Drosophila melanogaster: one gene and its partners. The gene in region 2 interacts genetically with the main gene of each other region. Each region holds a gene or a part of one and is shown on either strand. Other genes may lie near its edges.

Evidence for each region.
Region 1: of E(z) (region 2) and Sirt1, changing one enhances a phenotype caused by changing the other (phenotypic enhancement), as found in Drosophila melanogaster (one study listed by BioGRID).
Region 3: of E(z) (region 2) and mxc, changing one enhances a phenotype caused by changing the other (phenotypic enhancement), as found in Drosophila melanogaster (2 studies listed by BioGRID).
Region 4: of E(z) (region 2) and nej, changing one suppresses a phenotype caused by changing the other (phenotypic suppression), as found in Drosophila melanogaster (one study listed by BioGRID).

Annotation. Positions count from the first base shown.
Region 1 is NT_033779.5:13,163,922-13,170,068, reverse strand, and holds Sirt1 (sirtuin 1), read right to left. Parts: upstream 4,506-6,147; 5' UTR 4,079-4,505; coding exon 2,869-4,078; intron 2,690-2,868; coding exon 1,428-2,689; 3' UTR 518-1,427; downstream 1-517. Other genes in the region: DnaJ-H (DnaJ homolog), read left to right, coding at 5,176-5,244, 5,307-5,753, 5,866-6,147. UniProt on the Drosophila melanogaster protein: NAD-dependent histone deacetylase involved in heterochromatic silencing. Mildly suppresses the heterochromatin-mediated silencing phenomenon known as position-effect variegation (PEV). Required for epigenetic silencing of the polycomb group proteins.
Region 2 is NT_037436.4:10,634,075-10,639,801, forward strand, and holds E(z) (enhancer of zeste), read right to left. Parts: upstream 3,806-5,727; 5' UTR 3,688-3,805; coding exon 3,566-3,687; intron 3,504-3,565; coding exon 2,772-3,503; intron 2,711-2,771; coding exon 2,550-2,710; intron 2,367-2,549; coding exon 2,352-2,366; intron 2,020-2,351; coding exon 1,922-2,019; intron 1,864-1,921; coding exon 1,674-1,863; intron 1,612-1,673; coding exon 1,042-1,611; intron 974-1,041; coding exon 564-973; 3' UTR 501-563; downstream 1-500. Other genes in the region: CG34001 (uncharacterized protein), read left to right, coding at 1-124, 193-498; Cnep1r2 (CTD nuclear envelope phosphatase 1 regulatory subunit 2), read left to right, coding at 4,230-4,251, 4,349-4,420, 4,480-4,626, 5,141-5,295; CG18628 (uncharacterized protein), read left to right, coding at 5,725-5,727. UniProt on the Drosophila melanogaster protein: Polycomb group (PcG) protein. Catalytic subunit of the Esc/E(z) complex, which methylates 'Lys-9' and 'Lys-27' of histone H3, leading to transcriptional repression of the affected target gene.
Region 3 is NC_004354.4:9,237,431-9,245,195, reverse strand, and holds the start of mxc (multi sex combs), read left to right. Parts: upstream 1-1,728; 5' UTR 1,729-1,991; coding exon 1,992-2,037; intron 2,038-2,095; coding exon 2,096-2,263; intron 2,264-2,326; coding exon 2,327-2,501; intron 2,502-2,570; coding exon 2,571-2,871; intron 2,872-2,975; coding exon 2,976-6,942; intron 6,943-7,004; coding exon 7,005-7,707; intron 7,708-7,765. Other genes in the region: Larp7 (La related protein 7), read right to left, coding at 1-989, 1,050-1,320.
Region 4 is NC_004354.4:9,682,642-9,687,305, forward strand, and holds the start of nej (nejire), read right to left. Parts: upstream 3,027-4,664; 5' UTR 2,909-3,026; exon of another isoform or gene 2,862-2,908; intron 1,511-2,861; 5' UTR 1-1,510.

The DNA of each region.
Region 1 (6,147 bases), on a different chromosome or scaffold from region 2:
GAGTAATAACAATGCATGCAACACATGTATTCACATGAATATATGGGGAGATTGCATAGCATGGGCTTGTACAGTGTACATAAAATAAGCCGTCGCCGATTATATAGGACCCAAGAATATCATATTTTATATAGAAGCAAGCGCAAGCAAATAACCCAGGCAGCATGCCCTCAACTTTCAGTCGTAAACGGAGCGATTGGAAGTCGCTCCTAGTCTGTAAGATCCACGATTAACTAGCCGCTCTCTCCTTCGGTTAACTTCGTTCCGGTGTCACACATCTCTGCAAGGAGGGCATTATTGGTGTAAGGCAAACTTTTGAAGAAGGCAACCTTAATGATAAAATATGTATTTAGATATCCCTAAGGTACCAGCTAATGTCAAGATACTTTAATAAAACCGAATTCAAAATTGCAAGTATTGAAATATCGCCGACTAACTTTTATATGTGTTGGTTTTCTTTGGGTTTATATGTGCTCTACAGTCAAAACTCATTTTCATTTCTGTTTTTTTTTTTTTTAGATTGGTTTATATTCTGGATATTAATACACTTTTAAGACATATAGACTAAATTCTTACTGCTATGTTTACACTGCGTTTGGTGGCTATATATTTATGCTAGGTTTCGAATAAACATTTCAAACACGCACACCAAATTTCCAACTCTTATGAATATTTTGAAATCCATGCGCTGTTACATTTTGATGTGGGTGCGAGTGTATAAATGTTAAAAAATAGTTGCCATAACCGATAGAAATATAAAATGGTAAGGAGATAACACAAAAAAGTAGAAAAAGAATCATGTACAATACAAATTAGGGGCGAGTGCTTATATACAGAGTGTTTGTGTCTAGTTTTTAACTAAAACTAACGTATTTTTCCGTTTGCATTTGCATAGTTTTGAATATGTTACGCTTAGAACTAGATTTAAAGTTGAGGCGCTGCTTCTCTTTGAATACAAAGAAATCCTGCTTTCTAAAGGATTTTCAACTTTCCGCTTATCTCTTTAGTTTGTCTAAAAAGGCCTCAATAACAACTTAATATAATAAAATACTAACATTTACAGCGTTTCGTTTTGAAAAAGAGAGATAATAAATAAACTAAGAGTTTTTCAAAAATATCAAAACGGGATTGGGCATAAGGGGTTGGTGGTAAAGCAACGAGGGTCAGATCTCTAAAGCCTCGAATTGAGTAAACTAGTGGATCCGGTTTCATTTCTTGAAAACTTCGTGATACCGGGAATTGAAGTGTTCTCATATTCTAAATAAATAACAAGTAAACGGTTTACCGTTTCCGATTCCAGTACCTTTCCGGGGAATGAAATTGGTAACATGGCCCTCGGCTACGATTTCGCAGCTTCTCTGTTTACAAGTTGGCTTGAATTGCATTTAAAATAAATACTACACTACTAGCAGGGGCTAAGATTACGTTTACACTGCTGCTAACTGTCCTGGAGGCGGACTCTCCTCAGATCTTTCTATTTGGGTCTGCTGCTTATTTTCCTCACTTGGTCGCCGCTTCTTTAGTGGGGGAATTTCCGTTTCAATAGCGGGCGTTGGCTGCTGTTCTATAATGCAGGCGGTTCTTTTCTGGCCGGGACTGCTGTTGGGCAGCGGTTCGTTGGATCCATTCACTATATCGGTGACTATGTGAGCCTCCAGTGAAGGCGGTAGCAATGGTGACAATGGAACGGCGTTCAGATCACATGCATCCTCATCATCATCCTTATAATTGTGCCCCACATTGCCAAAGAGATCACTGTGTCTATTGTGTGATCTTTCCTCTTCTTCGTCATCATCATCGCTGTAATCGTTGTCCCAGAATACCTGGGCTCCTGGAAACACATACGAATAGTTGTTGGTGTGCGAATAGAATGTTCCAGGCTGCAGACGCTCGGCTGCTGTCTGTCGCTTTCCCCTCTGTTGTGGAATGGGCGTCAGGCTGGGCGCCACTGTCTTGGTCTCCTGAACAAGATTGCTGGGTCGCACGTAGCTAGGCGTGGCTTCGTTGTCGCACTGCTCGATGCCGCTATCCTTGGAGGAATCAATGGAAAGATGGCGATAGCTCTCCACCGTTGTCTGAGGGCCTTCCAGGCCCAGACGATCGCAACTTAGGGCTGTGGTCTCGTTCAGCTCAACCAGTATGTCTGTTTTAATACGTTCGATGGCTGCCGCTTCGGCGGCAGTGGAACGCTTTCCACAGCTAAAAGTAGATGACTCAAATCCACTATCCGAGCAGGTGCCAGCTGATCCTAGTATGTAGTCCGCCGAACTATTTGATTTAATAGACTGCGTATCCGTGTCCAGTTGCGACTGTCGCTCGCTCTCTGAACTGCAGTGGCGGTGGTGAAGTAGATGATGATGGAGGTGGTGATTAGAGTGCTCCGGAGGCATTAGCTCCTTGCTTTCGGTAAGCACTGACTCATCGCAGCACAGCTGCCGCCAGCAATCATCGTTGTCCGACAACCGGTGGCAAATCTGGTTGATGATCACATCGGAGTCGCCCAGCAGCTCCACATCGAACTTAAGGTGATGCAGCTGCTCGCGATTGATAAGAATCTGCGGCACCGTGGCCGGTATGCTGCTGGGAATGTGGGCCACAGGTCGGACCTTCAGCGAGGAGCCGATCACGATCAGTAGATCGCACACGTCCTTGTCGGTGGCCATGACCGTGTGGTACTCATCCGGCAGTCCTGTTGGCAATATGAAAAGCAAACACAATATGATATATGGTAAATAGCGTTACTTTGTATTTTCAATAGTTTATCTCTTAAATAAACACTTCTTTTGATCGTCGAATTTGAAATTCTTGCATTTATTTTACCAAGGCTATTGATAATATATAATAAATCTGTATAAAAATGGCACCTACCCTCGCCGAAAAAGACGATATCCGGCTTCATGATGCCGTTCTCGACCAGTTGGCGCAGCTCCTCCTCAGTAACGGCCACCGAGGCATCCACGCTCTGCTCCTTATTGGGCTGGCACTGCGGGCACACCGGAATTCGCTGGGCAAATATGTCCGCCCGCAGGGCGTCAGCGTTGCACTTGAAACGACACTTGGTGCACGAGGCCGTTGAAAAGGAGCCGTGACACTCGATTACTCGCTGAATGCCTGCCACCCGCTCGAGGGTGTCGATGTTCTGTGTGTAGTTGCGCAACAGTTTGCCCTTGGTCTCCAGCATTTTGATGAAACGATGGCAGGGTGAGGGCTGAAACTCGCCGGGATATATCTCGCGGGCAAACTTGTAGAACGGTCGTGGATCCCTCTTGAAGTAGTTGATATCAAACATGGCCTGCGGATCGGGCAGATCGGGAAAATCATGGGCCAATCGCGCATATATGCCATTGGTGGACCGGAAGTCCGGAATGCCGCAGGAGACGGATACTCCGGCTCCCGTTAGCACAATGATCTTCTGTGATTTCTTGACCAAACTGATGACATCGTCGAAGGTGTTCACTGAGGCCAGCTTGTTGCGCCGCTTCGGCTCGTTCAACAGGTGGGCCAAATAGTCCCACAGCACGGAGTCGTCGGTGTCGCCCGCCAGGCCGGTGGCGAAATGCGGCATAATGCTGGCAATAACCTGGCGCGGCACACGACCTGTGTAAAATTCTCGTTGCAACCAGCGCAGCTTCCAGTCGGGTTCCACGGATGAGGAGCAATTTGAGCTGGAGTCCTCATCCTCGTTGCTCGTTCCGGTGATTCCCTCCTCGTCGTCCTCCTCCTCCTCCTCATCGTCCTCTTCCTCCTCCTCCTCGTCATCTTCATCCTCGCCCATTGACTTTGTGGGATTTTTGGTTTTATGCTCCAAATTGGCGCCAATCTCTTGTTCTTCCCTGGCAGCCAATGTTTTTGTTTTGATTTCACCATTTGCTTTGCCAGCAAGTTCGCTTGTTGCTGGTTCTGTGGTTGTTGCTGTTGCTTCTGCCTCTGCCTCTGCCTCTGTTGACGTTGAGGCCAGAATTTCCGCGCCAAAATCAAACTTAGTTGGCGGATAGAATTGCGTAGTGTCTGGCACCTGGTTGCCCAGATCTTTAGACCTAATGTGGCCCAGGCGAATTTCCTCGTAATTTTCCATCATTTTTTCCGAACCCAAGCGCGCGCACACGCGCACACACACAGACTCACGGAGAGAAAACTCTCGTAGTTGGTGCTGTTGCTGGCTCTTCTTCTTCTTGCGCGAGTGTTTCCTCGGTCTCTCCGCTTTGCGCTCTCGCCTCGTCCGTTTTCTCCGCTCTTTCGTTGGTACACACAAAAATTTTTACGTCGTCAGCTTCGCACCCATTTGGCTTGATTGAAAAAATTCTCCAGCGATCGTTTGGCCGCGATTTTTTCAACCAACCCGACTTTATTTCACGTATATGCACGAAACTTAAATTTTAAAAAAATTTCGACACCATTTGGTTGCGATTTTTTCGTAATTTTCGAGCGTAGTTTCTGGAAAATTTTCCGATGAAAAAAGCAAGATGGCACACGTAGCTGCGCCTGTGTGTGTATGTGGGCTGGCAGACGTGATTCGGGTGGGACCCTGACACGTCGTGTGGAAAGTGCTAACGCGTTTCTGCATGGAAAGTGCCGCCAGCATGACTCATCACGGTATGTTTTTAGTATTTTTTGGGATTTTTGAGGGTGATTACGTGTTGCTACAGTGGCCACTGCCTTATGTCATATCTAATTTAATCCATTTCTTTAAAAACTGTTTAAAATATATCAATAATTTGTCAAAAAGTTAGTAAAATTAATTTTAAATTATGCTTCGAACTTTAATTTTAGCACTCTTTTACTTATCAAATTTACTCGATATTTAAACAATTAAGTAAAAATAATTTTTTTGTCCAATATTTACACATTTCATAGTAGTATTATAAATTGATGTATTGATAATATGCAGTTCATATGTCCAAAAACTTCCATCAAGCTGTTAAATACAAAAATGTGTAAACAGATTTCCAGAACGTTCCAGCAAGTGTCTACTGTTCCCCAAAAAAGCTGCGATTTTAAGTATTTATTTGGTACTTTCCCCAAAATTATAGGTTTTTGGTAGAACTTGGGCATACTTGTTAGCCAATATGACTTGAAAATATTGTCATAAATACATTGTTAAATAATTTAATAAGTCGTACACTTACAATGTACAAAATATTTTAGTTTGTAGGGGGACTGGGGATGCAATAGGAAATGGACAACCTAAATTTATACGACGTTCTTAAAGTGGCTCCGGATGCAACTGATGAGGAAATAAAAAAGGTATGTAACAGTTCCAATTCGATATGTTGGTAAATAGTTTGTATTCACCTTTTCACCAATAGAACTACCGAAAATTGGCAAAAGAGTTCCATCCAGACAAGAATCCCGATGCGGGCGACAAGTTTAAAGAAATATCCTTCGCCTACGAAGTGCTGTCCGATCCCGAGAAGCGGCGCATCTACGACCGATATGGATTGAAGGGCCTGCAAGAGGGCGCCGAGGGATTCTCTGATGCCTCCGAATTCTTCGCCCAGTGGTTCCCCTTCGATCGAGTCTCGTCCGAAGGTCGGGGCAGGCGCAATGGCAAAGTCGTGGTAAAAGTGGAGCTGACCCTGGAGGAGATCTACGTCGGCGGCATGAAGAAGAAGGTGGAGTACAATCGCCAGAAGCTGTGCTCCAAGTGTAACGGCGATGGCGGTCCCAAGGAAGCGCACGAGAGCTGCGAGACCTGCGGCGGAGCTGGACGAGCGGCCGCATTTACCTTCATGGGTCTCAGCCCCTTCGATACGGTATGTAAGAATTGATTGTAGTTGTAGTGAATGCACACCGCGGACCACACATCCGTGGAGATCCCATATACCACACTTCGGAGCAGATTATTTAAATTATTTTTTTTTGCAGACCTGTCCGACTTGCGATGGCAGGGGCTTCACCATAAGGGACGACAAGAAGTGCAGTCCCTGCCAGGGCAGTGGTTTCGTAGAGCAGAAGATGAAGCGGGACCTGGTTGTGGAGCGAGGAGCACCGCACATGCTAAAAGTTCCCTTCGCAAATGAGGGCCACCAAATGCGAGGCGGCGAATTTGGGGATCTGATTGTAGTCATCTCCCAGATGGAACATCCAATCTTTCAGCGCCGCCATGCCAATCTGTACATGCGAGACCTGGAGATCAACATCACGGAG
Region 2 (5,727 bases):
ACAAAACGCTGGCAAAGGCGATTGGGCCATTATAGAGCTGCAAGGCGACCTGGAGGTGCGGAGCAACCAGGATATGCACGGCCAGTTTATTGGCGATCTCTACTACAATAAATATGGCCAACCTGTGAGTTGTAATTGTAAAGTTATAATTTAACCAGCTCTTAAACAATCTGATTTTACTTATATCATAAGATTCTCATCATTGGACATCACATTCTTCAGGGACGTGAACAAAAGTTGGATAAACCATTTGCGGTGCTGGAAAAGTCCAAGACCAATGAGGGAGAACGACTCCTAGAAACGAGCATGGCCTCGCAGGATGTCAGTATGCTGAACGCCACCACGGGAGCGGAGCGCACAGTGCTGGATCATACGATCGCCCAGGAGCACAAGAGTCGCCAAAGAACGGAGTACACTGTGCGCGCCGTTTGCACCAAAAAATTAATCTTCAAATCGCGACCCAAACCAATTATAGCCAATGTAGCTAAATCCGTTTAGGTGTGTTTTCAAAAATATAGTTTTATTCAATTTGTATGATACGATTTTCATAAGTAGACTCGTTATCAAACAATTTCCATTTCACGCTCTATGCCCACGAACTTCAGCTGCTCCGTGGGTCCGTATCTGTAGTCAAAGAATAGCTCTTCGCCGGGCTGAATGGCCCGCTTGGCAAAGATGCCGATGCGATGATCGCCGGTGACCATCATAACCTTGGCATAGCAATTGGGATTAATGGAATGATTGGCAAACCGAATCTTGTTGCCCTTCCGAGTGGCATCCACAACAAAATCGTTGTTCAGATTGAAAAGAAATGAGCACATGTACTTGTCGTAAACCTTGCCACGGCGATCGGCTTCATCTTGGGATATGATCTCGCCACAATATTCCGAAATGAACTCATTCTTTTGCGCACCCTCCTTAAGAAAGATGCCCCAGCCGGCGATGTCAGACGGAGCCATGAGCAGGTGCTTGTCTGCAATTGAAGATTAAATTAGTTGACAGTGGCGAAGACCAATATGGATATATAAGAAGGTTTCTTACGCAGTCCTCGCTGCACGCACACGTTCTTGCACGTGATCTTGGTCAGCTTAAACTGATCCGCTCCGCAGGCCTGGCACAGATCGGGATCACACTCGCGCACTGCCAGATAGCAAGGACACTGCTTCGTATTGCACTGAGCCTTGCAGCGACAGCCGGGGAAACGATTCTGGCAATCGCTGCTGCAGTTGCAGAACTTTTCGCAGAAGTTTTGTGTCTGAATGCAGGAGCAGTTCATGTCGCATGGATGTCCGGGATGGTCGCAGGGCGTGTAGTTGTACACGTGATTCGAGGATGAGTCCTTCTTTAGCTGAATCTTACGACAGTGCAGCGACCACAGACGTTGCTTCTTCTTCTTCTTGCGCGGAGGTGTGAAGTCCTGTCGCAAATCCTCGAAGCTAAACTCAGCATCCTCCTTCTGGGCAAACTCGTACACCTGACGACAGGTCTTGGTCAGCATGTTGTGCGCAATCGCGCAGTAGTTCTTTAAATACACTTTATGCAAGACCCGATAAAGTGCTTGGTCAGCGCCTGTCCAAACGCACTGCGTACTGGTGATGTTCATCATGCCAGCTGGTGAGAAAAAGTGAAATATTTAACACATGGTCCAACCAATCTGCTAACTTAAAACTGACCCATAATGGAGTTGATCTCAGCCACAGCGGCGCTATTTACAGTCAGGCCATTATCCTTGCTATTCTCATGATTAAAGTCCTTGTTGCTAAACTGACTGTTGCTGTCATTACTGTCCTCGGAGCTGGCCTCATTGCAGGAATCAATGGGAGGTGTCTTGCTATCGGCCGCCAGCTTTTCCTTCATGCCATCCTGCAGCATATAACAGAATTAAAATACCATTTAAATTTATAAAGTGCATCCAACTTACGATCAACATGTAGCAGGAGTTGCTGCAAGGTTCGGCGAAAGGCTTCAGTTCCGGATAGCGACGCTTCTGGAGATTGGGACCCGCATGTCCTTGCAAGCCTGTGAACACAGAGCAGCGGGATTAGAATAACTCAATCGGGCGAAAATCACTTGATGTCTATGAAACGCTTTTGGATTAGCATGAGGGTAATCGGTTACATTTGAAGAGATAGAGAGAAATGGTCCAGCCAAAGCCACACGAAAATGAGGTGAGCAACACCGAGGGGTCAATTTAGACACATGACAAACATAGCCAAATTATCCACCGATATGGGTTATTATAAAAATTATATTCATAGACAGCGAGATGAGGATGCGGAGGCGTTGACGGGCAAACGGCATGAGAGTGTGTGCGTGTGGTTATCGAAACAACAACTACAACAACGACTCACCCTGCACATGGTGACCTAAATTGCAATTAATTCAATACATTTTGGAATTTCGTTTTTTTTTTTGGGGGTTTAAGAAATGGTACAGATTTGTGTTTTTTGGTAAGATAATATTGTTTCCAAACAAGAAAAGAAAAGCAAAAACAAAACGTAAAGTCATTAGGTAACCCAGCTGGCAGCAGTTCCCATCGTTTAACTTACGGTGCAGGAAGCAGTCGTATTTGAAGCAACGACGACAGAAGAGCGTGTGAAAGGAGTGCATAGTCCTTTCCCGGGAAACGCTCTCGGCCTTGATGCCGTCAATGTTGGGTGTGCACTCCTGTGGGCGCTCCGGATCCTGGTGCTCCGTAAGCTCAATGTACCTAGCAAAAAGAAAAAGCCGTAAGAAGGGATATTTACTAACCTGGTTATCAAATTACATACTTTTCTTTGAGCTCTTGCGCGGTGCCCTTGTCTGGAAAGTTAGCGCTGATGGCCTGAAAAATAATGGGCGCAGGGAAGGGCAGCTTGTCCTTGACTTCTTCCACATCGGGCTTAACATCCGCATCTTCAGTCTCCAGCGGTTCTTCAGTTTCCTTCTTCTCAACTTCAGTCAGATCCCCTTTGCTGTCGGTTTTCTCAAGCTTCATGGGAGATTCACCATCTGCGTCAACATCAACTACCCCATCATCTTCGCCCTGTTTTGATTTCGCCAACGTCTCTGTTTTAATGGCAGTCGCTGTACCCGGAGCGGCTTCCTCCAGTTCCTTGCTGTAGGAGCGCATAAGGGCGTGCACCAGTTCTACGAAGATGGCATCGTCCATGAACGAGGGATCCTTGTCGCCGTGAACCTTGCCATCGTAGTTTTTGATCAGTTCCTCTATGAACTTGCCATCCTTATCGAGGACCTCGTCGCCCATATAGGGTATATTGTGCAGCACCGTCTCATCCTCCACCATGAAGTTCTGCTGTGTTGGTGCCCACGTGTACATGGTGGGTATGGGAGTGACCGCGTTGATCACGCAAATGGGCACCTTTTGCGGACCGCTGGGAATGCCATTGTAGCTAGTCACCTCCGCCCGCTTCACACAGTCCACATGCGGCGGATCGTAGGGTTTAGCCTGCCAAACCTTCGACTCGCAGTACAGATCCTGTACATTGTGGTTGTGCTCGTCCCTGGAGGATATGTGTACATAGATTTTCGATTCCCAGACATCCACCATCTCTCCCGCGCTTACCAGTTTCTTATCCACGCCTCCTTGATCTCGTCGGCACGTTTGTAGCGCTTCTGCTGCCTGATTTTGATGTACTCCGACTTGACACGCCTCTTCCACTCGGGCGGCACTTTAGTGCTATTCATAATGCCTTCGAGGGACTTTATATTTGTTGATTTTACGTATAAAAAACACTGATTTTGCTACAAATATTATCCGCCTTTTTTTGCAACAGCTGCCGCAGTGTGACCGTTGTACTGCAGGAAGAATAACTTAGACACATGGGTGTATGTAGAAGACCATTTAGTGGGTACTTAATTTGTCCGGTAAGCCATTAATTATATTTATATTATAATAAAAACTATGATATTTTTGTATTAAAATAATATAAATATAATATAAATAATACATAAATATAATACTCACTTTAAATTAGCTATACAACCATTTTGTACTGAAAGTAGGAAATAAACAAAGAGCCCCTCTTTGGTACGACCCTGCTTTGTGTAGTGTTGAGAAACGCAGCCCGTTATCAGTGCTCTCAAACGTGGAATGTCATCAAAAACATAAAAAGAGGAAAAGAAAGCTATGAGAACCTCATCAAATAATAATAATAAATACAATAATATTTAAACTGGACAAATTTAATCGCATTAAGACGGCCACGAGCTTTGAGGAAATAGCTGCAATGGAACCGTCAGCCTGCGAAGGTATGTAACTCGCCGGCAAAAGAGAGCCGGAAAACGCGCAAGCCACTGACTATGTTTACCAACCATAACTGGGTTTGTTTTCCTCGCTCCTCTGCAGATCTCAAGGCCTTCGAGCGGCGCCTCACCGAAGTGGTTTCATCGTACCGTCCCTCGACGTTCCGCTGGCGCAGTAAGTTGCATCCGTATAATGAGAACACCAGGGAGCATTACAATCCGTAATAACCATAGAGCTTCTTGCAGTTGTCCTTTCCGCCATGTCCATGTGCACCGCCATCAGCGCCTGGTACTGGCTACGCGATCCGCGCACCACCGTTGTACCGCTAACGGAGTCCCTCTGGATTCATCCCGTCTTCACAGTCGCCACCCTAACATTGGGTAAGAATCGGTGTAGCCACTACTGTACTCCGTACATAGGTCACTTTTTGTAGTCAACAGCGGCGGTCATTGAACCTCGGATATTCTACCTAGTATGGAGAATAATTTTAATACCAAGCCATACCATGCTATTTAAATCCATATAATCATATCGTAGAGCAAGTCGATACTATATATCAGGTTATCTCAGGCTACTCGGTAAAAAGAAAGGATCAAAATCAAGAATTTCAAATTTTTAGGTATTTCTACTGTTATTTTGAGTAGAATACACTCCTTATATCTATCACATCTATGCAAACTACATAAGTACATTCTCCAAATTTTAGCAACATTAGGTTGCCTTTAATCTTGTCAAAGCTCTTCGCTTTATCAAATTCGATTTGTATATATCAATATTGATAGTCCAACTGATTAAGAATTTTCAGCTAACAAACACTTCCATTTAATCTAATCTAATTTTTTTGGTTTGAAACTGACTTACTGATTTTGTAAACCTTATCATTTCTCTCCGCAGTCGTCCTGTTCATCCTGGGCATACAGAAACTAGTCATAGCTCCGCAAATAATTACATCGAGAACGCGAATGGTACTGGGAGACTTTAATATGAGCTGTGACGACACGGGGAAGCTGATACTCAAGCCGCGGCAAAGTAACAACAACAGTACATGAGCACCGGCCAGCTTCCAGGACGTTTATTTAGTTAATTGCTAGTTCCCTTACCCTTTTCTTTTTTCCTACATGTTGATTCGGACACCCTCGCTTTGTAAGCGTATTTTTAAAGTACCTCTTATTTCTCCCCTACACATTTTGTTTAATTATAGAAGCTCCTTTGTACAAAAAAACAAAAAGAAAAGAAATCAATTGTTAAGCTTTATGTGTTTCGTTAATGGCGTTACCCATCGCTGCCAAATACACCAAGCGACATTTCAATATCAATTCATCTATAACTAACGAGTTGCTCGCAAATTGTGCAACGACAAGTGTTTTTGTATATTTGGAGCGGTTTTTATCGAGCCGCATTCTGTATAAATAGGGAGTCTGTGCAGTTCCAAGGCATCAGAAGCAAGCAAGCCATCTGTACAACAAACCAGCTTTACCATG
Region 3 (7,765 bases), on a different chromosome or scaffold from region 2:
ACCGCCATCGCTAGGGACCTCGCCTCCGGTTTCCTCCTCTTTAACTGCCTCGGGCAGCTGTGAAGGTTTCGGATGGTTTGGATGACTGGTCTGCTGGTGGTGAGGGTGCTGCTGATTTTGTGGGTGATTTTCTCGCCACAGCTTGCTCTTTGCCTCACTGACGATGCGACGCTGTAGATTCAAGTACTTATTGCGCATACTGCTCCAACTAGTCTTGGGTAGCACCTTGAGCTCCAGGGCACTGGGCTCAATGTTTGGCTTGTCCACGATCGCCTTCTTCTTGCGCTTGCGACGGCGCTTTTTGGCAGCTTCATCGCCATCGGTTGCCTCTGTTTTGTCCTCCTGCTCGGAGGCTTCGGCTGTGCCCTCTGCATCCGTTTCACTCGCTGTTTCCCCAGCTGTAGAGGTCTCGCTAGGCTGGCCCTCCTCCAACTTAACCCGTTTCACCTCGTGTATCTCCTCGCGATCCTTGTCGGTGGCCTCCCTTTTTAGATTTCGCTTTGGCAACTCAACCTGTTCAGCCTCTGACTGCGGCTGCTCCGCTTTCTGTTGTATCTGCTGCTGCTGCTGAAAGGAGCGCACACTGGCCAGATCACTGGGATCGGTTTCTACGGACAAAACGCCCTGTATCTGGGCAAAAGCCTTCACAGCTTTCTCCAAGGACCCGCTCTTTTCGAACTCGATAAAGGCAAATTCCTTGATCTTCTTAGTGCCCGGATAGTGGGGCAGGGACACGTAGGCCACCGGTCCGTAGCGGCTGAATACCTCCTTCAGCCAATCGTGAGTGGCATTTGCAGGCAGGGCCTCTACATACAAGGTTTTGTCGTTGACATCGCGCTGATCTGGTAGCTTGGTACGTCGCTTGACCTTTAGTTCGGTCTCATCCAGCTCCAGAAGCTGGGAGTTGCTTAGTGCCTTGGCTATCTGCTGCACATCCTGGGTGAGCGTCTTTATCTTATTGAAAGTGAGAAAGATTTCCAATGGTACATCTGTAAAAGAATAACATGATCAGTGTTATGTTGGCTGGTGAGCCAACCTTAGCTACTCACATGGATCCTGCTCTACGTAGCGCCGAAGGAAGCGATCCTTGCTCAAGTTGGCGTCACCGAAGTAGAATTCCATTTGACCGCGAATCGAATTGAACAAATGCCTCTTCCTTTTGCGTCCACCATCCTTTTTATCCGGCGATGCGTCTTCCGGCGCCGGTTCTTTGGAATTTTCCTCAGCTGGTTCAGTGGGTGCGGCTGGATCGGGTTTCTCCGCTGATGTCGCGGGCTCCTGACCCTCGCCCTTCTCCTTCTCGATACTCTTGGCAGCCATTGAGTGCCAGTTAACCAGTAATCTAAGTCACTCGAATAAAATATTGCACTTGGTTTTTGCGTTCTGATCTATTTGGCAACGCCGTCTAGTTATGAATTGCTGGGATGCCAGGTATTTGCAGCATTCCCATATCGATAGTTTAACGAATATCGGATTCTAAGTACTGTAACGTACACATAAAAACGAATTGAAGCAAGACCATCAAAGCAATAAAAACTGCTATAATTTGTTTTAAGCGAAAGAGACGTATTTCTTTGCTTTAATTATTACCATTATTTCCCACGCTCCTAATAAGGCTTGGCAGCCAAGCGCAAACAACGGGACTATATCGATAGTTCGGCGCTGTGGCAACCCTACTGCGTTGTTTTGGCGGGCGGCAAAAAAAACACAGATGCTATGCTAACCTATGTGTGTTGTACAGTGCGCCGCTAGAATCGGCAACAACAAAACGAAAATAGTCGGCGAATAGGCGAGAAAATGGTTTATTCTCTCTCGAATTAAAGCGCTGATTCAATTCCGACTAACTATTGAGTGATTAAACCTGCAACAGTCAATAATAAGGCATTACAAGTGCGTTCGATAAACCTAAAGTCTTGCAAGCGAAAAAAAAAAGAAAGGCAAGGCGAAAAGCGAGTGGATGGTGACGCTTAGCTGAGTCGGAAAGTCCAGCCATGGAGTCGATTGTCCTGCATTCGGACGTGGCTCGCTTGGTCCTGGGTAGGTTTTCCCTGGACGCTTTTCTAGCTCGCAATATTTATGCTCTTCCATTTTGTAGGCTACCTAGTCAACCAGAATCTAAAAAGGGCCGCACACACTCTGTGTCGCACATCGCCTCACCTGCGCCACGAGTTCCTGGCCCTTAAACAGGGCCTGCAGACGCACAACTTCCTTCACGGGGGTCTGGAGGAGATAATCTGCGAGCATGTCAAGATCACAAGCTTGGGTAAATTAGCACGCTCCTTGCGTTTCTTTTTTTTTGCGGCTGACCGAAAATCTCTCTTTTCAGTGGCCGGTGCCGTGCAGAAGCTGCCGCTGGATATGCGTATGCAGCTGCAGCAGATGAAGCTGTCCGAACGGGTCAGCGAACTGATAGCCGCCGGCGAGAGGAGTAGCTGTACCAATGAAAGCAGCACCCCAGGCGAGCCCACCATATCACAGTCGCATCGCAAGAGAAGGCGCTTGTAATTATAGATTTTTCCTTGACACAAGCACATCGGAATTCTCATTGCTCTCTTACCCCTTTTCCCCAGGCGCACCCATTCTCCCGTGAACAGCATTTCTTCGCCTTCGTTTAGCAAGCGACCGCGTCTGCTGCCGCCACACTTCTACTGCAGCGTTAACCGCGACAAGGTCAGGCAGAGTTTCCTAGGCAGCCAGGATGACTGCGAGGCGGAACTGGACGAAGAGGATGGCGAGAGCACAACGGCCACCGAGGACTTGGAGGAGGATGACTTACTTCCGGCGAATGGTCCTGGTCCGCGCAACAATTCCACGCCGCGCCAAGGTCATACCGAGTCCAATCCACTTCTGCTCACGCCGCAAAGCATGCCTGTAAGTCCATAGACATGCTTAATGCATATCTGCTTAATTAACCAATAGTGCATCTATTATGTATTCTAAACAAAAAACACTCTTTCGATTTACATTGATTTCAGGAACTGGCCTGCGCGATAATTAAGAATCAGGACTTCCAGGAGACGCTGGTAAAGAATATTAACGTAGCGCTGCAGACGGTGACTGTTAACAATCCGTCGGTAAGCTGTGACGCCATGTTGGATGGTCTAGTGAAGAACATACTGGAGGCCACCGAGAAGGATCCCTCGTTCGATCGCATCATACAGGAGGTGGTGATCGGGGATGAACCATTGGCAAATGAGGAGGACCCTGGTGTGTCGCCTGCCTCTGATGCTGCTGGGGCTGCTATTGTTCCCGCTGCTGATGGAGATGTGCTGCCGACAGAACAGGCCGTGGATCCCGTGCCGCCGCAAACACCGCTTATTATTCGCACCGCCGTTGCAGCCACCGCAGGAACCAATGCAGATCCCAATTTCTCCATCTCCAAGCTTATCGTACTGAACTCCAACGAGAGTGTCCAAAAAATGGTTGCTGGTTTGGATACGTCCAATATCAGCTTTACAAGCGAAGGCCTCAATATAAATTTTGCCGATCCAGCGTCAATGCTCAGCGAGGTGGAGGCGACAGCTGCTGGTCAGGTTTGTGTGGACGCCACCACCGGGCAGCTGACGTTTCCCATGTACCTCTCGAACGGTGGACTGCTGTCGCATCTTCCATTCCTGGTGAACAACGAGTGGGTAGCCCAGCAACTTGGGCCGGATGCCTTTGCCAACATTGATGACTCGCACATTGAGATATCGCTGCCGGAGCCGATTACTCTGTCTGCCAATCAGCTGCCCCCCAATTCCATTATCATTAGCAGCGCCCAGAAACAACCACCTCCCCCAAGCGTGGAGCCTCCAGTCCAGTTGATAAAAGATGCAGCCAAAGTGGACAACAAGGCGGGCCAGGGAACGGCGGCAAAAGAGCAACCGATAGATCAACTAGAGGAGGAGCAGCGAAAGTTTCCACCCGCATCCCTGGATTCATCTAGACAAGTCATGGAGAGAGTGACACCCTCGACGTCGGGAATAATTAACGTAAAGGCCTTTCGTAGCTTATCCACTCCCCGAAAGAGAACTTCGCATGTACGAACATTAACTTTTTCCCCTAAGGTTCCTCCTGGTGGCGTCCTGCATTCCAATACGCCGCTGTCCACTAGGCGACCTGGTTTGCTGGCCAAAGCCCAAGAGAAGCCAATTATCAACCATGTGGAGATCATCCAGGCCGCCTGCGACCTGAGCTCAAACGAGGGCCTTGGAGGAGTGCCACCACTCTTCGCCATGGAGGAGTGCAGCAATCAGACGGTGATCAGGGCCCATCCTCCAGCTGCCGCTCCGTCAGCAGCTCCGGTTCCTCCGTTGGTGGCCACGCCCAAAAGAAAACAGAAGCGACAAGCAGCGGTCAAGGCCTGCAAGCGAATCATCTCCCAGGCGGAATCGGAAACCAAGACGGATAAGGATCAAAAGAAAATTATGCCCAAAAATAACTCTGCCTGCAGCGCATCGTCGACCGCTCACGATGACAGCGCCGAGGCCAGCAAAGAGAATCTCCAGGAGCAGCAGAAGATTGAAGGAAAGCCAGATGTAGGCTCCGCCGCCAGAGGAGACGCAGTTGTAGATAACGATATGGCCGCCTGGCAGCGCCAGTTGCATGGCTCCAATTCTGACCTTGAAAATCGGCTGCGTGAGATTAACTCCAAGCGCGAGGAGGTAAAGGCCTCCGGCCGCTCGAGGCGTCCAAAGAAGAAAGATACACCCACTTCAGCTTCGTCGAGAGCACGAAAGGCTCCAATGGTCAAAGCGAAGGCGGAGCCCATGAATCTGGCAAAGAAACCGCAGCGCAGTGTTGGGGATTCCACTGAGAAGATCAACATCAAGATTATCACTCCTCAGAAACCAAAGCTCCTGAAGAAAAAGAAGGTGTTTGAGGCAAAAGAAGAAATCATAGACGAAACCATAGAAGAAACCATAGACGAAACCCAAGCGGAGATCGAGGAAAAGGATCAGAAGAAGAAAAGTGAACAAGGATGCATATATGCAAAGGATCAGGAGCAAGCGAAGGCCTTAGCGGCAGAACTGTCGCGACCCAACATGGCCATGCTTCTGGACACTCCGTTTAAAGCATCTCCCATTGGAGCAGGAGCAAGCGGAGCCGTAGAAGATGACACCACATCAAAGGAAGCTGGTGTTGGTGTAGCCGCTATCATCCCACCCACGCCAGGAATGGCCATTCCACCTCTGGACACGCCATATGGCAAGTTGCCCAGTAGCAGCTTTCTCTTTGGTTCGGATACCAAAAGTATTATGGATACGCCCCAGTTGAGTGCCATCACACCTGGATTTCGCTTGACACCTTTTGGACAGATGCCCGGTACTCCGATAGGCAGTGCTGCCAAGACTGAGTACTCTTCAGGCAGTTCCTATTATCGTCCGGATGAAGCGGAACACACCGATGCGAATGCGCAGTGCGCAATACAACAGTGGGGTGATCCGCAGGATAAGAAACAACCCAAGGTTCGGTCAACGCCCAAGAAGAAAAAGGTTGAGGCAGAGGATGAGCTTTCGCAACAGAAGAATCAAGAGCTAATAGAAATGGAGTGTTCAAAGAAAAGCCTTCATCCGGAGGACAAACATGCTGAGGACAATAAGAAAACACCGAAAAGACCAGAGAAGCCAATGGATGAACATCTGAAGGAAACTGAAAACGATGGTGAAAAGAATGAAACGGTTTTAGAAAAGACACCAGATGCTGTGAAGCAACCCGTTGTCCTGTCCTTGGAGCCCACCGTCCTTCGACGCGTTCGATCCTTTGGCAGTGAGGCGGTGGACAGTGCGGAGTCCGCTACAGCTGGCTCATTTCCCTCCGATCAGCAGCAGCTTCCGCACTATAAACTTTTGCCTGGCCTGCCCGAGGCAATTATTGAAGGATCTAGTAATTCTAGCTCCTCGGCAACCAGTTCATCGTCCTCATCCAGTTCGAGCTCAAGCTCCTCCAGTAGTTCATCATCGAGTTCCTCATCCTCGTCAAGTTCTCACAGCGGAAAGGGGGAAAGCAGAGGGGAAGAGGCAAATGGCGAGAATGCCGACGAAAAGTGCAGCAAGAAAAAGGAGATGCTACTAAACATAGATAACTTATCGAACATTAGCAGCACGGAAGACGAAGAGTGGCTGAAGGCAGCCGGTTCTGAGGATGCAGTTCTGCCCATGCTTGCTATCGACAGTCAGCCAGGTCAGTTAGTTAGCCAGGACGGGGAGGTCCGCTATCCTATCCGGAATTGGCTGACACCAAGCAAAGAGCAGGCCCAGGAGACGGATACCAGTGGAGAACAGCAAACAAAACCTACACCTCCTAAACCGGTGGCTGCTCCTGTTCCGCCTCCGCCGCTTCCTCTAACACCGCCAGCTGCTCCTCCGCCGCCTCCACCGCCTCCGCCAGAGGCGGACGATCCTTCATCCGTCGCTCTTCCAACGGCCTCTACAAGCCGTCAGGAACACCAACGCCAGCAGCTGAATGAAAAACGCCAACGTGTAGTGGCCAAGTTTAAGGAGCAACCCCAACCGATCAAAGGTCAAGGGAGAAAGACTGCCAACAAGAAGCTCACTGCAATGCGTGAAAATGCCAAACTGGCCAATCCAAGCAGTCAAAAATCGCCAAAAAATCGAAAGCACATCGAACCACTGAAAACAAAAGCAGCTAAAAAGCAAATAGAACCAAATCCGAATGTTAAGTCCACAGAGGCTACTGGTCCGCCAGTCGGTGCCGCCACAGATGCGCCAGCAGATCCGCCAGCCGGCAAATTGGATCCCGCTCTGCTCATGGCCCTCAATCTATCTGCGAAAAAACAGGAATCATTACCGATTGTAATCAAACCAAAGGTAAATCGAGCAGCGGTTGAAATTGCGGCACAGCCTGCCCCTGGAAAACGTGGACGCCCGAAAAAGGTACAGAACGGGGAGCCAGCCAATCTCTGTATGCGACGATCCTCGCGCCTAGTCGAAAATAAAAGTAAGTAGTTAAGATCCAATCGAATGGGTATTGAAACTAATATATTGTCTTTGCAAAACTAGCTCCTGCTCCGGAAGATCTCTCCAAATCCACTGAAGGAGCAAAGACGAAGACCCAAATCAAGGCAAATACCAAGAAACCGGCCAAGAAACGTGTCGAGGCAAGGGTACCCTCCTCCACAACCGATGCTCCGGCACTGCCCATTGTAGCGGAGGCGGAATCCACCCAAAAATCTCCAAAGCAAAAGCCGCAAATTCAGCAAACAATACAAGAACCTAAACAGGATCCACCGCCATCGAAATGCGATTCGGAGCCCGATGACAGCGACTTCGAGCAGGACATGTGCCTGAGCAGCAGCCAGGAGCGTTTTACCTATAATTTCACATATGCGGACAACGGACCAAAGTCCAGCAATCCGATGATACGTCAGCCATCGAGCTATTTCAAAAGCTATCAGATGCGCTTGATGACCGATGACGAACAGCTGCATACGCTGCGCATAGCCAGTGCCCAGGTGCTCTGTCTGGGCCAACCGGTGGCCAGCGCCATTCGCAATATACCCAAGAAGCGGATACGCCGCCTGACCGGCAATAGTGGCGGGACAGCGGCAACAGGGGGAAGTGCAAGTGTAAGTGGAGGAAGTGGAACGGGAGCGGAAGTTGCTGCTGCTGGCGAACAGCCTTCGGCCACGTCTACGCCGCTGGTGGAGAAGCCCCCATCCAGGAGTGGGCCGCAAGATGAGGAAGATCTGGAGGTGGCCACCATGTAAGTGGTGAACATATGCATTTTATTTTTTGTATGCTTATCATAATAATAATACCGT
Region 4 (4,664 bases), on a different chromosome or scaffold from region 2:
ACAGAAACGCAGACGAAAAACGTTCGAAAAATCTGAGTAGTATTGTTTCTATTAGTTTATAAAGTTTTTCTGATTTTTCGCTTTTTTTTTTCACTAACTCTCCAATGATCCGTCTATGTTGGAGTTCGAGTGTGTTCTGATATTTTCGTTATTGGAACTTGTCAAATCTTCTTTCAGAAATTATTTGTCGCCTAGCACTTTGACAATTGTTGCACAGGTTGTTTGTTTGGTTAAGTGTTTAGTGTTTTAAGTTGTAGATTTCTTGATTAGTTTGGACACTTTGCAACACACGCACGCACAATACACAACACACAAAGAGGCACTCAAAAGGCGTGGCTGGCGAGGATTGGGATTTGGTTTTGGTATTGGTGTTTTGGGATCTTGTAATCGATGATGTTGGCGATGCTTGCACTTAATGATGATATTAACGCTGCTGCTCCGCTTTTTATTGCTAAGGATGTGGCTTCTGTTGTTGTTCTTGTTGCAGTTGTTGTTGTTGATTTAGATAATTCCTTTGCTAATTGCCGCTGCAACGACAGCAACAACGTAGCCGGCGCTATCGTCACCGCAACGTCAACGGATGGAGCTGACCACCACCACGTCGTCGGACCTGTGCCCGCTGATCCTTCTGCTCCCACACCCACTTCCACTCCTTCGCCTTTTCCCTCTCCTTCTGCCGCTTCCGCTGATCCTGGAGGATCGCGCAGCCACCACCGCCTTCTCGTTGCGGCGCCGTTGAGATCGTTGTCGCCGCCACTGGCGCTTTGGCCAGCAGACAACTTTTCCACCGCCTGGTGCTCCTCCTGCTCCTGCTCCTCTTGATGCTTGTTCTTATCCTGCGTCCGCTTGACCAGTACCTCTTCTTCTTCTTCGACTTCGGCCCTGCGCTTTTTTAGCTGCAATTTGTTTTTGCTGCTGCTGCTGATGCTGCTGTCGTTGTTGTTGTGGTTACTGCTGCTGCTGCTGCTGCCGTCGTTGTTCTCGTTGTTGCAATTGTTGTTTGTCGAACAGCAGCAGACACACGCGTGCATTTTGTGTTGTTGGGCCCCAAAAACACCAAAAGTTGACCTTGGCTGGGCGGCTCTTGTTATTGTTTGTTTGTTTGTTTGTCTGTTGTTGCCTGCCTGCCTCCACTGAGCGAAAAAGAACGGTTCTTGGTTTGGCTCTCTCCTCTTTCTCTTCCTTTTCTTTCCGCCTTTTTCTCCGCTATCTTACATATTTTATGTGATTTGTTTTTGGCGGCTTTTTGTTACACAGGAATATATATATATATATATAGATATTTTGACCATATATTATATATGCTTGTGTTTAATTTTGATTGCACTTGATTCGGTTATCGTTTACAATTAATAAGGAAAAAAAAGCAATTCACATTGTTGGCTGTTGTTGGGTTTGTTGTGTTTCGGTTTGTTTTTGTTGCTGGCGCGCTGCTGTTGTTTTTGTCGATGCTGATGTTGTTGCTGCTGCTGCTGCTGCCGACGTTTGCCGCTCTAGCATTACACATTAACTGCAAACGCACAAGAAGAATAATACACAGCCTATTAGATTATGTTGAATGGACGAACACAAATCGAAAGCAATATTTATTTATTTTCTTCTTTCTTTTTTGTAATTTAGCCGCGCGCGAGTGGACAGCGAAACCGAGGGGAAAATGGAAACAAAACGAAACTAAAATGCGACGAGACGTGCCGAAGACGGGGCGAAAAGGGAAGAACAACGAGAACAGTACCGAGAATTCTCTCGGTCTCGTTGCACTCATCTGTGTGCCGCTTGACGACCACTCACTCTCTCTCTCTCTCTTGTCTGTTCTTGCCTCGCAATTTTATTCGCCAATACTACCAGCGCTGTACTCGTTATTTTACTCGCAGACGTGTGTGTTGGCCTCTCGCTCTTTTGGCGCACACCACGAAAATGAAAATAATAATTTCATTTTGCCGCCAGTCCCCTAAAAAATATGGAAAACAAGTGCCGTCGTTGGCAAAAATATACTTTGAAACATGCTTAACATTTTTATGACAAATACATTTTTGGAAAAAAAATTTCACACCTTTACAGGTAATAAAAGTCAGAGCACTGCTTAAAAAAATTAATTGAAGTATCAGCCAGTTGCGGCTGTAGTCTATAGTCTAGTTTATAAATTAAATGGCCGAAAAAGTGGCCGTATTTTGGTTTTGCTTCCGCATTCGAGCGGCCATCATATGAAATTCAATTTGTTGGGGCGGCGAGTGGCGAGTGGGGTGCGAGCGGGATGACACTAGAGTGCAGTGGGGCTGGCTGACAAAAGCTTTCACACACTCACGCACGCACACATTTGGGGTTTGGGGCGCGCGTACAGAATTCTCACAGCGACGCCAACGCCGTTTTCACCACACAGTTACACACACGCACACTTCGAAAACAGCGAGTTCGTGCAAGAGCGAGCACGAGTCCGAGAGAGAAAGCATGCGATGGTATTAGTGCCAAGCGGCATTAGTGTGCAATATACACACGACGGTAAACGGCAACGAGTGCGAGGAGCATTGGAAAAAGAAAGAAAAACAGACGACAGAAATATATTCCATTTTTTTTCTGTGTTCGTTCGTCGTTTTCGTTTCGTTTTCTTCTTCACGTCGTTTCAAAGTTTCTATTGCAGAAATTTTTTGTGTTGTCTCCGCCAGAGCGTTTTTCATTTTTCCCGGCCCACACAAAAATCGCAAAAATATTTGGCGAAAATACGAAATTCAAGAAAATGCCGTAGAAAATTTGAAAAAAATTTCAGCCCGATTTTGGCCGGTATTTTTATTTTTCCACCGTCACCGATTGCCACGCACTAAATTTCTAACTATACTTTGCAATTTTGCCGAATTTCGGTTTTATACCATATATTTTTCACATTTTCCGGCGATTTTATAAAAATCCCACAAACTTTTTCGCAACACTAAAACAAAAAAATTTCAGTCCGCTTGTGTTAATCGTTCTCCGAGCCAAAAATGTTTTTGCTTCAGTGTGACCGCGGCTAGCCGTTCAAATACACCACCGAGCTCGGAAATACACTAAAATTGACTGTTTAACACAACACGCGAGTGGGCTCTCGTCGCTCTCGCGTGCTGTTTGGCCGCTGTTGTCGTACTGTTACGACCCGAAATCCATATAAATGCCTTTGCTAGCAGTCTGTTGGCCCCGTAACAGCTGTTAACCGCTGTCGGAACACTGTTTTGCTCTAGTCCCTCGCTCTCTGCGTCGGCGAGACCGCTCACGCCATGCGCTCCCAAAGAGCCGATACGCACACACGCGCACACATATGGCGCGCCAGATAACGAAGCAGCGAGTCCAGAGATGACCACATGATGACGGTGACACATTCGCCGATACTTTTATGCGGTCACTTGAAAATGTGCACAAAGAAGTTTTGTAAGAAACATCATTGGTTGGAGACCAACATCATTATGAAATGAATATTCTTTGCAGCGTTTTTGAGATCAAATAGGTATTCCAAAAAGATGTTTAATATGAATTAATAAATCAACATCTTGAATGAGTGCAGTTGTTTAGAATTTTTTGTTTAAAAAAGTATTTGTAGACATTAATTTTGAAAACGTTTGTCCATCGTAAAAATCTAGTTTAAAGTTCTTCAAAGGAAAAACGATATTTACAGAGGATCACGTAAGTAATCGAGTCATTGGATTTGCGCATCTCTGGTGGGTTCAGTGTTAGCGTGTTTTCCGTTCGCTCTTGCCGTGAGAGACAAAGAGAACGTGTGAGAGAGAGGCAAGCCGAAAAATCAGCCGCCGAAGGATACACTATCGTCGTCCTTGTCCGACGAACCGGTGGTCATGCAAACAACGCACAGAACAAATTAATTTTCAAATTGTTCAATAAATGTCCCACTTGCTTCTGTTGTTCCCCCCTTTCCGCTAGCGGAATTTTTTATATTCTTTTGGGGGCGCTCTTTCGTTGACTTTTCGAGCACTTTTTCGATTTTCGCGCGCTGTCGAACGGCAGCGTATTTATTTACAATTTTTTTTGTTAGCGGCCGCCGTTGTTTGTTGCAGATACACAGCGCACACATATAAGCTTGCACACTGATGCACACACACCGACACGTTGTCACCGAAATGAACGGGACGGCCATATGACTGGCTGGCGCTCGGTATGTGGGTGCAAGCGAGATACCGCGATCAAGACTCGAACGAGACGGGTCAGCGAGTGATACCGATTCTCTCTCTTTTGCGATTGGGAATAATGCCCGACTTTTTACACTACATGCGTTGGATCTGGTTATTTAATTATGCCATTTTTCTCAGTATATCGGCAATTGGTTGCATTAATTTTGCCGCAAAGTAAGGAACACAAACCGATAGTTAAGATCCAACGTCCCTGCTGCGCCTCGCGTGCACAATTTGCGCCAATTTCCCCCCTTTTCCAGTTTTTTTCAACCCAGCACCGCTCGTCTCTTCCTCTTCTTAACGTTAGCATTCGTACGAGGAACAGTGCTGTCATTGTGGCCGCTGTGTAGCTAAAAAGCGTAATTATTCATTATCTAGCTATCTTTTCGGATATTATTGTCATTTGCCTTTAATCTTGTGTATTTATATGGATGAAACGTGCTATAATAACAATGCAGAATGAAGAACTGAAGAGTTTCAAAACCTAAAAATAATTGGAATATAAAGTTTGGTTTT